Callithrix jacchus: one gene and its partners. The protein of the gene in region 3 purifies or fractionates together with the protein of the main gene of each other region. This does not show direct contact. Links are inferred from orthologs where the notes say so. Each region holds a gene or a part of one and is shown on either strand. Other genes may lie near its edges.

Region 1 (4,190 bases), on a different chromosome or scaffold from region 3:
CAGGCAGAGGGAACAACTGGGACAAAAATGAGAGGCAGGAGTGTGGCTGGCACATGAGGTTCAACGACAAAGCCAGTATTGTGGGGCTGGAGTGAGCCTGAGGAGAGAAGAGTAATAGGCTTTGCAGAGGGCATGGTGAGAACTCTGGCTCGGACTACTTGGGAGGCTGATGATGAATCTGTTCACTGCTGAAGAAGGAAGAGGGCAAAGGGCAGAAGCTCCATTTAAAAGGTTCTAATAAGCCTCGGGCCTTTCTCTGCCTGAGAAACTTACTCTCTGCCCTCTGCCTCCCTAGATTACTGCCCCAATGCCTGGAGGAAAGACAGGTGAAGGCCGAAAGCCACGGGAATAGCGAAAGTGGGCAAATTGGACCTCCAGCTCCCTTTCTGCAGGTCTATCTCAGTCCACAGCCCTTGCACATGCTCCCTTTGAATTCTCCAAGCATACCAGTAACTTCCAAAACTCTTGGGACTTTGCTTATGAGGGCATCTCGGCCTGGAATGCTCCTCCTTATCTGTCTTGAGTGGGTGTCAAAAAGAGTATATTTTGATGACCTCTCCCGGCCCCTCATGCTCGCTCACATCCCCCTCACTCCTTTCAAAGTCCGTTCCCAAAGCCCCCAGTTCACCGTCCTGGGCTGCTTTTAGCCACGTGAGACCTAAAGTGATCCCCTCTTGGAACCTGATCTGGGGCCTATACTTCTGGGGCAGTCTGGGAGTGCTCTCGAAGGGCCACCCTCAAAGAGCGAACCTCGGCTGGATTCAGTTCCTAGGTACCAGCAGTCCGACCTCTGCAACGACGCTCAGCACACCCCTTCCCCTCTCTGGGTCTCAGCTGCCCCGTGAGTACAGCCCCTGCTCCAACACGCAAGGTCAGTAGCATCTGGGGGCTCTGATGCACTCGGTCCCTAACTCAGCCTGAGGTCAGCCCAGAAAGCACCCGACCCGGGAGGCCCCGCAGCTCTTCACTCTCCCGCCCTGCCCAGTCGCTGACACAAGGTGACTTCCAAGGGCAAGACCACGACTCTTACCCGTCTGTAGGCGCCCCCCTGGCTGGCCTCAGCTCGCAAGCAGGCTGCACCCACCGAACTCTAGCCTCAGACCGCCACCCTTTACTACCCTCCCGCGTGAGACGAGAATCAGCCGAGCTTCCTCCACCAAGAGGATTGGCCCAGCTCAGCGTTGGCTAAGCCAATTGGCGCTCGCGGCGTGATCTTGCCCAGTTATGACTGGCCTGTGTCGCCAGCGTGCCCCTCCCCGCGCTGGTCCAGGGCTTTGCCAGGTTAATTCCACCCACTTCGGCCCTGAACCAATGGAGAGCGGCGAGGGCCAGAAGACGGCCAATGGAGAGCGGGGCTGCGCGCAGGGGGCGGTGGGAACGGGGCCGAGTCAGTGTATACTGCGGTTGCCTAACAACCGGCAGCGGAGTCCTTTGGCTATGGTGAGTGCTGGCCGCTCCGTCGCGCCCCACGCCCAGAGGTTGAGCCCTTCCCAAGCCCCGGCTGTGCCACGCCGCCTCTCCTGCGCCTTTCTCGGCTTTGGCGTACAGTCCTTCCTTTGAGCTCTTTCCCGGAAGGGTAGGGTACAGGCGCTAACCAACCTACTGGGCCTGCGCTTCGCTACTGCCTCCCCTTCACCCACGACAGGCCCACACCCGCCCCTCAGGCTCCCCTGGCGTTCCCTGGTCCCCTCGGTGACCCTCCCTGGGCAAAAAAGACTCGAATCCCTCACAGACCCCTGACTCTCTCAGACCTTGGCCTCCTGGCCGCCTCATTCTGCCAAAGTTTCCCCACAGAACTGGGAGAAGGTGTATTGTTTTCTTTGAAAATGTTTTCTACAATATAAATATAGGGGCATTAAGGGGATGCTTTAGCTTCTTGGAGAAGGCACGAAGGTGCCAGATGGATTGAGTTTTATTATTAGATACTGACACGATATACATCTTAACTTCCTAATATTTGGGCAAATCTAGAAGTAATTGGGAAGTCAGAGTACTTACTAGGAAGCGGAGTACTGGCAGTGGGCATTTTAAGGCTGTTTCCAGAACCAGGTTCCCCACATTCGGGAAGAGCTGATTATCTCTAGTTGTTCACAGTCAGTTTCTTGACTAGCTCTCTTTTGGGATGATTTTCAATAAGAGATATCCTTACTGAACAAATGATCTCCCTGCATCTAGAAACAATAGTAAACCCTGTGATATTTCTTGTTAAGCAAAGCTTTGGAATTGGTTATAAATGACTTTAAAAATACATATAGGTGTCTGTAACTATGTTATGTAAATATGGACTGTATTATATATTATTGTGCTTATGTATTTGCATAACATATAAAGGCCTCCAGCTTTAAGAAGGCAAACATGGCGTCAAGTGCCCAGCGAAAAAGAATGAGTCCTAAGCCTGAGCTTACAGAAGAGCAGAAGCAGGAGATCCGGGAAGCGTTTGATCTTTTTGATGCAGATGGAACTGGCAGCATAGATGTTAAGGAACTTAAGGCAAGCTCTATGCATTCCTGCCGTTTGCCCTGCCTTTCCTCTCCCTCTTCCTTGTCATCTCTTTATCACCTCTCTACCCCTTTTGCCCTCTTCTCCCTGCAGTAAGTAACAGGGGAGGTTGTACTGTGCTCTGTTTTCCTGTCTTTACTTACCTTGAGTATTATCAGATGGATTGCAGATATCAATTAGATCTGTGTTAAAGTGTTCCCGAATCATATTAACATGATCACATCAGATACGGACTTAATGCTCTCAACACTGTTATTTTTGCTTCTTATAGTTTAGATGTGTATATTGAGACAATCCTGTTTTCATTGTAGGTGGCAATGAGGGCCCTGGGCTTTGAACCCAAGAAAGAAGAAATTAAGAAAATGATAAGTGAAATTGATAAGGAAGGGACAGGAAAAATGAACTTTGGTGACTTTTTAACTGTGATGACCCAGAAAATGGTAAGTAGTTAAGACAATTGGCATGGTACAGAGCCCCAGTCATCTGCAGAGGCCCATGGCATCTGCCTGTTAAAACAGTCATGTGAGCACACAGCAGTTCAGGCCTGCCCTCCCGTCATGTTACCTTGTGCTTCTCTCTCAAGACTTCCAAGCAGATACCTCATCCCACAGAATTCCAAACCAGTTAAGAAACAGATGTGGGATAGGGAGCAAATGTCACCTTGGATGGAGTGCCTGGCTTGCCTGGTGTTTCTCTGAGGCCAAAATGGGCTTCCTGACACTGGCTGCAAGTCTAGACTCGAGTTATTGTTAAAAAGGAGAGGGTGACTGGGCAGCGGCAGGGCTACAGGACACAAGTAACCGTGGTGTCTCCCTACTCATGTGTTTTATGTTCTACTTGTTAAGTCTGAGAAAGATACCAAAGAAGAAATCCTGAAAGCTTTCAAGCTCTTCGATGATGATGAAACTGGGAAGATTTCGTTCAAAAATCTGAAACGCGTGGCCAAGGAGTTGGGTGAGAACCTGACTGATGAGGAGCTGCAGGTTTGTAATGCCTCACACTGGAACTTCAGATTCCCACCTTTCAGCCTTCTGTGCCTTTTCTGTTACATTTTTCCTCGTGTGAGCATCTCTTTGAAGGAAAGCCAGTGGACTCTTGTCCCTTTAATAGTCAGACAAACCTATGAGCCCTGCTTCTAGAAAAATGCACAGGTGCACAATCTTACTTACTATTTTGGGTTCCAGGAATCCCTCTAGTCAAGGCAGTCTTCAAGCTCCCTCCCAGGTGATATGTTTCACAAAATATGACTTGGTTTTCAAATAACTATTCAGGAACCAGGCTATTATCAGGAGTAGCATACTGGCATTGGGTGGACTACGATGATCTTTTCACATAGCTTTATTAAAGTCTATTGCTTCCCAGGCACAGTGGCTCATGCCTATAATCCCAGTACTTTGGGAGGCTGAGTTAGGAGGATCACTTGAAGCCAGGAATTTGGCACTAGTGTGGGCAGCATAGAGACCCTGACTGTAAAAAAAGTCTATTCCTTAATCACCTTTTTGAATTAGTTTATAAATTAAGCTAACCTGAATATTTACTGTCATATAGGAAATGATTGATGAAGCTGATCGAGATGGAGATGGAGAGGTCAGTGAGCAAGAGTTCCTGCGCATCATGAAAAAGACCAGCCTTTATTGAGATCAGTGTCTTCTTTTCTACTGCAAGCACATGTAACTAGATTTAGTGCCTGC
Region 2 (4,272 bases), on a different chromosome or scaffold from region 3:
CTACCCCCTACTTGGAATTCTTATGCTTAAAAATCCCTTGCAAAATTAGAAAAATTAAAACACATACTTATATTCACCTATCCATTAAGGCTATTAAAAATCTGAAAATGCTATCTTTCCCACTGTGCTAAAAGTCCCATTCTACCCTAAACCCAAATCTCTCCCTATACCTCGACAAATATAATTTACAAATCTCTCCCCACATCTTGACATTTTAGGTATTAAAGTTGACATTTTACCCATCAGCATGTGTCAACATCAAACAGCACTTAAATTTGCACCAGAGAAAGTGGATTGAGACTATGTTACTAACAAATCCAATTTTTAAGATTAAGAGACAACACTCCCTCAATCTGAATACAGTGAGTCACCAAGAAACAAAACAAAAACAAAAACAAAACAGTGAAAAGAATATGGTAAGAATAGTTTAAATTCCAGTTTGAAATCCTTTAATTATGTCAGTGAAAAATAAGCACCTTCCCTAGGAATATATTTTTACATTTAAAATACTATTCATTTTATCATGTGAAAAAGACTTTCTAAAAACTGTTAGGGGTTCTGTTCAGTTTTATTATAGCAACTAACTAGGAATGCTTAAAATGCCTTCATAGTTCCAAACCAGTTTAGTCAAAATAATTATTTAGAAATGCAATGTAAAGCAACTGTCAAAATGCAAATCATTTTAACATAAAAACAAATATTTTAAAGTATACCATTACCTTTAATTCATGGTAATCTATTGCTTCATCTTTGTCTGTATCAAATAGTTCAAAAGCATCTTTAATTTCTTGTTTCTGTTCCTCAGACAATTCTCGTCTTTTTTTCCTCTTTGTTTTATCTACTACAAGCTCGCTTCTATGAAATGGAAAGAAAAAAATCCTTAAATTAAAGGAGAATTAAAGTCTACTTTAATTCTCTTTGCTAACAGAAATTAGCCAATAATTATTTTCTAAATTTTAAAAAAGAAAGTACTTTGGAGAAAGATAGGGAAACTTTCCCTTTATGAGTCAATGCCCTGTTTACTCCATAATCTAAATTGCTATAAATCTGAACTTCCCAAAACTAAAGATTGTTAAAGATTAGTAAAATAAATGAGGACCATACTTTTCCTTTTCCCAGCTTTTTATTTATTCCCACTAATGTTACTGTGGAAAAAACAAGAACTGTGAATAAGTAACATTGCTTTTATATCTGAAACTCCAACCAACTCTAACCAAAAAACAAAATACTCACATTATTCTAAGACTGTTAAAGAAAAATAACTCCAAACGAAACCAAAATTCATAGTTGACAGTCACTATATGTCGGTTTACTTTTGATAGCTCTTATAATTAAGTTCGTAAAAGTACTACAAAAACATACAACCGAATTAACTTAGTATTTTAGCATTGTTGGTTAAAAATGTTTTTAGATTACACCTTTCTAACAGTTTGGCAATTTGTCATTTCCTCCATCAATATTAACAAATCATTCAAAATATTAATGAGTCTAAACATGACAAATATTAGATGCCAAAAAAATACAATATTTGTGCTTCATTCTATATAAAAATGTGAAGAGTCTTGTCTCACTTAACATGTAAACTGGAGGTTAAACTTCTCATAAACAAACTCTGGAAAGCCTTAAAGAAAAAAAGTAATTTTTTTAAAGCCAGAAATATTTTCCTTTAAGAGTTGCCCATCTAAACATGCTCCAAATTTTCACAGGGGGATGCAACACTGGTATAAGAACAAGTTTGAAACCTATAATTCGATAACACATTATCATGTAAAAACCAGTTGACTCTATTTAAAACACGTATCTAGCTGCATTTGAAAGTCATTTTGGTCTCTGAAAGCTAGGAAAAAAAAAAAAAAAAAGGCCAGGAAGTGACCAGTAGGTGCAGTATGACAAAGCTGATGAAGCTTCCTTTCATGAAACCTGACTTGACACAAATTTGGGTATTCCTGGGGTCAGTCTTTTCCTTCCTGAGACTTCTAGAGGCCAAGTCCAGAACCGACCCACCCCCTGACCCCATTCAAGGGTACGATTATCCCTTAGCAGAACATGGAACATTTTTATTGTCCTAAGTATATAGTTTTACGGTACAACTTCTACAAAGGGTGAGAGGGCAACATACAGAGGGTTAGAGGTTAGAACTGAAAGGCAAAGAAATGCAAGAAGCTGAGGAAATCCAAGTGACAGTTTGCCAATTAAATTCACTAAAATGGGTCTCCAACTACACCATAAGGCAACGCCCTGAGAAATGAGGAAGAAGGAGTTTTGTGTTATTGCCAAAATTTATAGGTGGGTGATTTGCATTAGCAGCGAAGCAGCCGAGGCGGGGCCCTGGCCAGCTACACGAATTGAATGAAGGGATGTTCCGCGGCCTGGTATCTCACAGAAACGAGTAAAAGCCTCGCGATATTTCATTCCCTCCGCGCTCGCAACTAAGCCCATCTTTTTGGCAGTCCAAAGCCCTACGCGCTGACAGAAATAACTTCCTCAGTAGAAACGCACTGGACTCGATCCCTGCAAGGCACCAGGGCCCAGAGGGTGACTGGTCCGGGTAAGCTACCCTAGGCTCCTTTCCCGCGTCCCGAAACTGCATCCCCTACTTCGCCTCGGCCCCAAACGGCCTCCCTTCCACACCCTCCCTGCGTCCCGCTCCGGGGTGTGGAGAACACTGCCGCCTCCTTATTACCGACCTCAGAGCTAAACTCATTATCTCTTCGGACAGAGACGTTCCTCTCAAGAACGATTTTAACCCCCTACCCAAGACAGCAAGACTTTCACAGCCGTTCAACAGACACGAACGACCTTAGCGGCCTAAGGGACCTCCCACAACATAGACACTTTTGAGCTGGATTGGTTGAAAAATCTCCACGGTTCTGCCTATTCGGGCGGAAGCTTCACAATTCTCTGTTTTCATTGGGTACGTTTTACGTCAATCAGAGAAAAATGTTTCTGTCCTTCACCCACCCATTTCTCGGGCTGCTCTCGCCCTTCGGATTGGCTCGATGCCTTTTTCCCCGAATCCTTTGCGGGTCCGGCCTCTGATCCCTGCTGGATGTGCCCGCGGTGGGTGGGTGCTAGTCGTGTCTTGCTTGAAGCCCTGAGGTCTGTGGGGCCGACGTTCGGAAACTGGACACACAGCTCCGACGGAGGGAAGGGAAGGGACACGCTGCAGGCCACCCTCCGGCTAGGAGGGAGTAGCTGAGGAACAAGATCTGCGAAACTTGGCTCTGCTCTGTTCTAAAACTTTGGATGACCTCAGTACCTGGGGAAAGTGTTTAAAATGCAGATTTAAATGCCCCTTTCCCCATTCTAATTTCAGTAGGTATGAATCTTCGTTTTTACCCCTCACAAGCCTTCCAGGTGATTCTGAGGCAGGTACTGTGACTATACTTGGATTATCACAGGGTTAGATTATTAGGCTATTTATGGTGAGGCAGTATCTAAACCACCCTTCCCTTTCGGTTTCCTCCTTTGAACTGTTTAAAACGGATTTATTCGTTTCTCTCTCTTATTTTACAGTGCTGTAAGCTGTTTATACACATGAGACTGTCTTTACTACCAAACCAAGTCTCTTGAAGCTCACTTGAATGTCTTCTTATTCATCTCTCTTACTAGGTTCAATTTCTTGAAGGCCATGATTATTATCTGTTTAAGGCTTTTCTTTGTACCTAGTAAAATGGTGCATAGGTGCTCTGTAAATTGAGTGGAATCTTTTGAAAACCCGCAAAATACTTAGCTAAACAGCAGATCTCATAAACGTGAATAAAATAGCCTGAGGATGGGAGTTGAAGGCAGAGGATAGTATAAACATTACATGTTTAAGGGATGTATATAATGGTTTAGAGAAGAGAGAGAATACAAGATAGGCTTCTTAAAGGAGGTGGCATAAATATTAGACCTAGAAAGATGAGCTAAATTTGCATAAGTAAGGATAGTATGATAGAACAAGCTAAAAATTAGTTAAGGTTTAGCACCCCTAAAAATCAAAGTGGAACTTTTATTTTGTTCATACTGTAAATTTTAAGGTACTTTTATAAATCGCCTTTGAGTTCTAAAAGGAAAGAGAAATTACAGTTACTAGAACCTAATGATATTGAAAAAAACTATATGTTAACATTCTAAGATACAGACCAAGCTATAGGAGAACATTATTTTAAAGAAGAAAGGATAAAAATAAACCAAGCATTTATCTGAAGATGTTAGAAATGAAGAAGAAAATTGTATAATTGAAATTAGAAAGAGGAAATTAGTAAAGATAAAGTTTGAGAACAATGT
Region 3 (4,234 bases):
CCACCAACACAGTAGCTGAATGCAGAAAGAGTTTTCTAAATTATTCATACAAATTAATAACCATTGTTGCTCATATCCACAAATCAAAATCTAATCTTTGTTAACTATTACAAATATCAAAAGCCTAATCTTTACTATTTATACACAAACACCAACAAAAGAGTGGCAATCCAAAATTTATACAACTTTAAAAAAAAAAGTATCTTTGTGCATCTGAGTGCACACAATGAAATAACCCCAATCAAGATTCTCAACAACAGTTTGCATTTTTCCCTAAATTATATGCTATCTTTTGGTACCATCAAATGCAAAACAAATATTCATTCATATTCTTAGCTAAATGTAAATGCTTCTGATTAAAATCATTAAAACAAAATTCTAAGTTAAGAATAACCAAAATTTTGCCCCAAATTTCTTATCTTCTTTTTCATTTCTAATGGTGTCTTAAAAATCAAAAGGCTTTAGAAAATTAATATTAATCTGGCCTTCTTTATTCATAACCATAAAACATGAAAGGCAGTGGAGCTGTCCAAAGACTCAGCATGCAATATTATAGAGATGTTTTGCCATCAAAATTATTCATAAATTCATTATTTACCCTAAAACATAAGTCTGCCACTCTAAAATCCTCCGCTACTCTACAATTCTCCCTTTCTTTATTCCATTTTGTGAAATGGGTGAGTTACCAACTACAGCATGAAACATCCCACACAAAGCTAAAGGCAGCTCAGGAACTCAAAGCCCTCAGCTCTGATTTAAATCTCTCCCTCAGCAAACTTCCTTGGTTGCTTATTTGCCTTTCTCTGAAATGATTTCTCGATATTCTCCCACCACTGAAAACAATAAGCAGAAACCTGGTTGATTAATCAAAACAAACAGATTCTCATCTTTCTATTCCAACAACAGCGCTTTCTCCATTGAAAATGAAAATGAAACGCTGTCCATAAAACACAGCCCAGCACTTGTCAGGTACAATACTCCTACAACACCAAAACTATCACATCACACGGGTACACTCTAAACAAACACACCCTTGCCCCCCATTATCACAACACTAGTGAAATGCAGAGGTTTTCAACACCCAGAGTTTATGCTTTATTATCTATACAAAAATCAAATCAAAATGAGTTTCATTTCTTCAAAGTGGACAGGAAAATCAAATCAAAAGCAATGAAAGGTGGAAGCGGATTCAAGATTCCTTGAAGAGAGAAAGAGCTTTCTGGAATTTCCTACTTTTAGGGACAAAAGGATTCACAGTTTTAATATACAGTTCTCTTCTCAACAAAGAATTCTTCCTGCACAATCCCCCCCCACCTCTGCCCTTACTTTTTTAGTCTTTACCCCTGTCTCTAGGTCCCCTTTCACTCACCATGGTTCCTCCTCTTCTGCACCAAAGGTTCTCTTACACTTGATCTTTCACTACAACATTTGTGCCCTGACCCTTGCAGACCTTCCGGAGCAACTACCTACAACACTCACATTCAATTCCCACCCCTGTGCAGTCTACCCCCATTCTACATCCATCAGGACTCTCTCAGCTTCCCTTAGCCCCCTTCTCTTCCCTTACTCCCCATCACATCCTTTAAATCCTGGGACCCATCTCTTCCTGCTCCTCTCACCGTCTGCTTTTAGCCGTGTCTCTTCACCTCACTGTTTTCACCTTGGATCTTGCTGAACCTCTTCAGTTAACGTATTTCCCCAGTTATCCTTGTCCCAGACAGCCATCACTTCTTACACCCTAACTCTAGTCTCCTTTCAGCTCTTCTGGTCCTAGAATTGTTCTACAGACACCCATCTCTTATCTGTTTCCTTTCGCCCTTCCACCACTCTTATTCCTGACTTCACCTGGTTCCAGTCCAGGTCTCATTTGCCCTCCCTCACTTTACAGAATTTACACCAATCGCCCACCCACTAACCCATTCCTTTCGCAGAACCTCAGCAGCAGTTCCCACCACACCGCTGGTCCTAGTCCTTCAGCTCATCTCGCTCCGCACTAGTTCACACCCTTGTCACGTCTGGCTCTTAATCACTCTCTTCCCTACTCCCAACTATTACCCCAGCTCTGCCCCTCCTAGTCTTCCACTTCCAACTCCTACCCCGGTATCCCGCACCCCAACACCACCCCCTACAAAGCTTTCCCTTTCAAACCCCCGCTCTTACACCTAACCCCAGGATCCCTTTTCCCAGCCCTAACCTCATTCCTTGCCCGGCTTCCTTAACGCCCACCCGGGCTTTTGCCTCCTTCCTACCTTCTGGGTTGGCTTTTTCTCACTCCTGCTCTCCCAGGCTTCTAACCCTTTCTCCCCTTAATCCTCCTCATCTCATTCTAAACCCGGTTCTCCCCATTGCCCCCAAGCCTTTCTTCCTCTCTCCCTTCAAGGCTTTTCCCCCAACCCAGTCGTCGCCCACCCCGCCAAAATAAAGCGCCGGCGCTCCCCGACTCCCGGCTCTCTCCTCCTGCCGCCCCCGCCCCGGGCGCCCCCAGCCCCCCGGCGCCGCGGTCCCGCCCCCTGCCGCCGCTCCTCCCGGCGCAAGGCGCGCGCTGCCTTTGTCGCCCCTCACCCGGTGTGTGAGGATTTTGCTTCTTTAAAGGGGAGGGCTAGTAAGCCGGAGACTCCTGTCCCCGCCTCCGAGTCTTAGAATGGGTTCCCTGACCGTCGCGGCCTCCCCGGTCCCCGTCCCCCTACCCCTGGAGCTACCCACTTTGCTGCCTCCCTACCTCCTCCGTCCCCTCCCCCGGCCCCCTCTATTTACCGCCATCATCAGCACGCGCGAGCTGTCACCAGGGCGCGAGACAACCGAACTCGGCCCCGCCCCCTGCCCGCCTATTGGCCCGCCCGCAGGAGCTCCGCCCCTCAGGCCCTGCATTGCGCCAACGGCGCAGCGCTGGGCCGCGACCCCGGCACCGGCACCCTGTCCGAGGGTTCGCGCCGCAGGCGCAAAGTTTAGGGTCAGCCACGAACGCGCGGCGGATTTGAGCCTGGCGTAAGAGGCGGCGGCGTAAGGAGGCGTTGTGAATGGCTGGTCGAAGTTTGGTTGAAGCACAACAGGGTAAATAAGAAGGTTTCCAGACAAAGAGACTCTTAAAGGTACAGACTCTATGTCTGGTCCCTCCTCCTTAAAGGGCCAGAGACGCTCCAGACCCATCTCCGCCCCCTTCTTCCTGGGGAACTGTAAAGGCATTTTACACGGGTTTCCCCGTACTCTTTTGGGTTCACCTTTAAAATACCTCTCCCCACCGCGAAGGACAAAGGCTTTCTCACTATCCTGTCCATATGTTTTGTTCTGTTAAAAGACGTTATTTCTGTGTTGTTCCTAAAGCAGCAGCCCGCAAACTGTGGGGTTTCCGAAGGCAGCGTTTGCAAAAGTTACTGTTGGCTCCCAGGCGGGCGAGCACGTGTCTGGCTTTTGCCACAGATGACCCAAGAGAGATTCAGCTGTTTTATGGAAATCCCCCCCAAGGAAGAGGATCGCTGCTGGAACTGAAGGTCAGCAGACTGTGGGGCTTGGGAAGTAAACCAGACTGAGTTGGTAGTGGTCCTAAGGACTTCTTTCTAGAGGGATGGGGATGGACACCATTGGGAAACAGAACAACAGCCCTTGCGGGATGGTTTCCGGGGGCGGGGCGGGGGCGGTGGAAATGGATGTCACCCAAAATAAGATCAACAGTTTCAACACCCAACACATAGCTAAGAAGACTTACATTTAATTATAAGAACAAGTGAAAGAAATGGACATTAGCTACAGTAGTGGCTCAAGTTTACACACCTGTAAATAGGAGAACTAGGTAAGCACAAAAAACACCACCACACACAATAGGAAGGGGGAAAACTACAATGCCTGGAGCCAAGCGCTGTGAAGGCAATTTATTAATAACTTGCACATTTAAAAGAGGTTTGACAGAAGAAGAGAAAGTGGAGTTGATTTATCATGAGGTTCAAGACCTCCGAGTTAGATTCAGAATTTAGCACTCCCTTTGTCGTCTATGAGTTAACATAATTCTTTTTAAGGAATTCTTACATTATAACTCTAATTATCTGTCTTATTCCCTTACTCAGCAATCCCCAATAAAAATTCTTGGAGAAGAAGGATTGTTACTTATTCAATGTTCCATAACAAGGTGCTTTTGCAGAGTGAAGAATTTGGGAGACAGTTAAAACTTCTAATGGAAGGGATGCTCCCAGAATAGCAATACAGGAGGAAAAGTTTCTCAGTGCTGCATGTATTACATCAG

Evidence for each region.
Region 1: the proteins of USP49 (region 3) and CETN2 purify together in Homo sapiens (affinity purification with mass spectrometry; 3 studies listed by BioGRID and IntAct, with this or other methods). This does not show direct contact. The link is inferred for Callithrix jacchus from reciprocal best matches to the Homo sapiens genes USP49 and CETN2.
Region 2: the proteins of USP49 (region 3) and CETN3 purify together in Homo sapiens (affinity purification with mass spectrometry; 4 studies listed by BioGRID and IntAct, with this or other methods). This does not show direct contact. The link is inferred for Callithrix jacchus from reciprocal best matches to the Homo sapiens genes USP49 and CETN3.

What each region holds. Positions count from the first base shown.
Region 1 is NC_133524.1:148,960,081-148,964,270, reverse strand, and holds the start of CETN2 (centrin-2), read left to right. Parts: upstream 1-1,390; 5' UTR 1,391-1,437; coding exon 1,438-1,440; exon of another isoform or gene 1,441-1,576; intron 1,577-2,331; coding exon 2,332-2,490; intron 2,491-2,810; coding exon 2,811-2,939; intron 2,940-3,344; coding exon 3,345-3,482; intron 3,483-4,047; coding exon 4,048-4,137; 3' UTR 4,138-4,190. UniProt on the Homo sapiens protein: Plays a fundamental role in microtubule organizing center structure and function. Required for centriole duplication and correct spindle formation. Has a role in regulating cytokinesis and genome stability via cooperation with CALM1 and CCP110.
Region 2 is NC_133503.1:120,374,700-120,378,971, reverse strand, and holds the start of CETN3 (centrin-3), read right to left. Parts: upstream 2,801-4,272; 5' UTR 2,705-2,800; coding exon 2,688-2,704; intron 856-2,687; coding exon 720-855; intron 1-719. UniProt on the Homo sapiens protein: Plays a fundamental role in microtubule-organizing center structure and function. As a component of the TREX-2 complex, involved in the export of mRNAs to the cytoplasm through the nuclear pores.
Region 3 is NC_133505.1:50,397,174-50,401,407, forward strand, and holds the start of USP49 (ubiquitin carboxyl-terminal hydrolase 49), read right to left. Parts: upstream 2,801-4,234; 5' UTR 2,563-2,800; intron 1,423-2,562; exon of another isoform or gene 1,370-1,422; intron 1-1,369. UniProt on the Homo sapiens protein: Deubiquitinase that plays a role in several cellular processes including transcriptional regulation, cell cycle progression or innate immunity.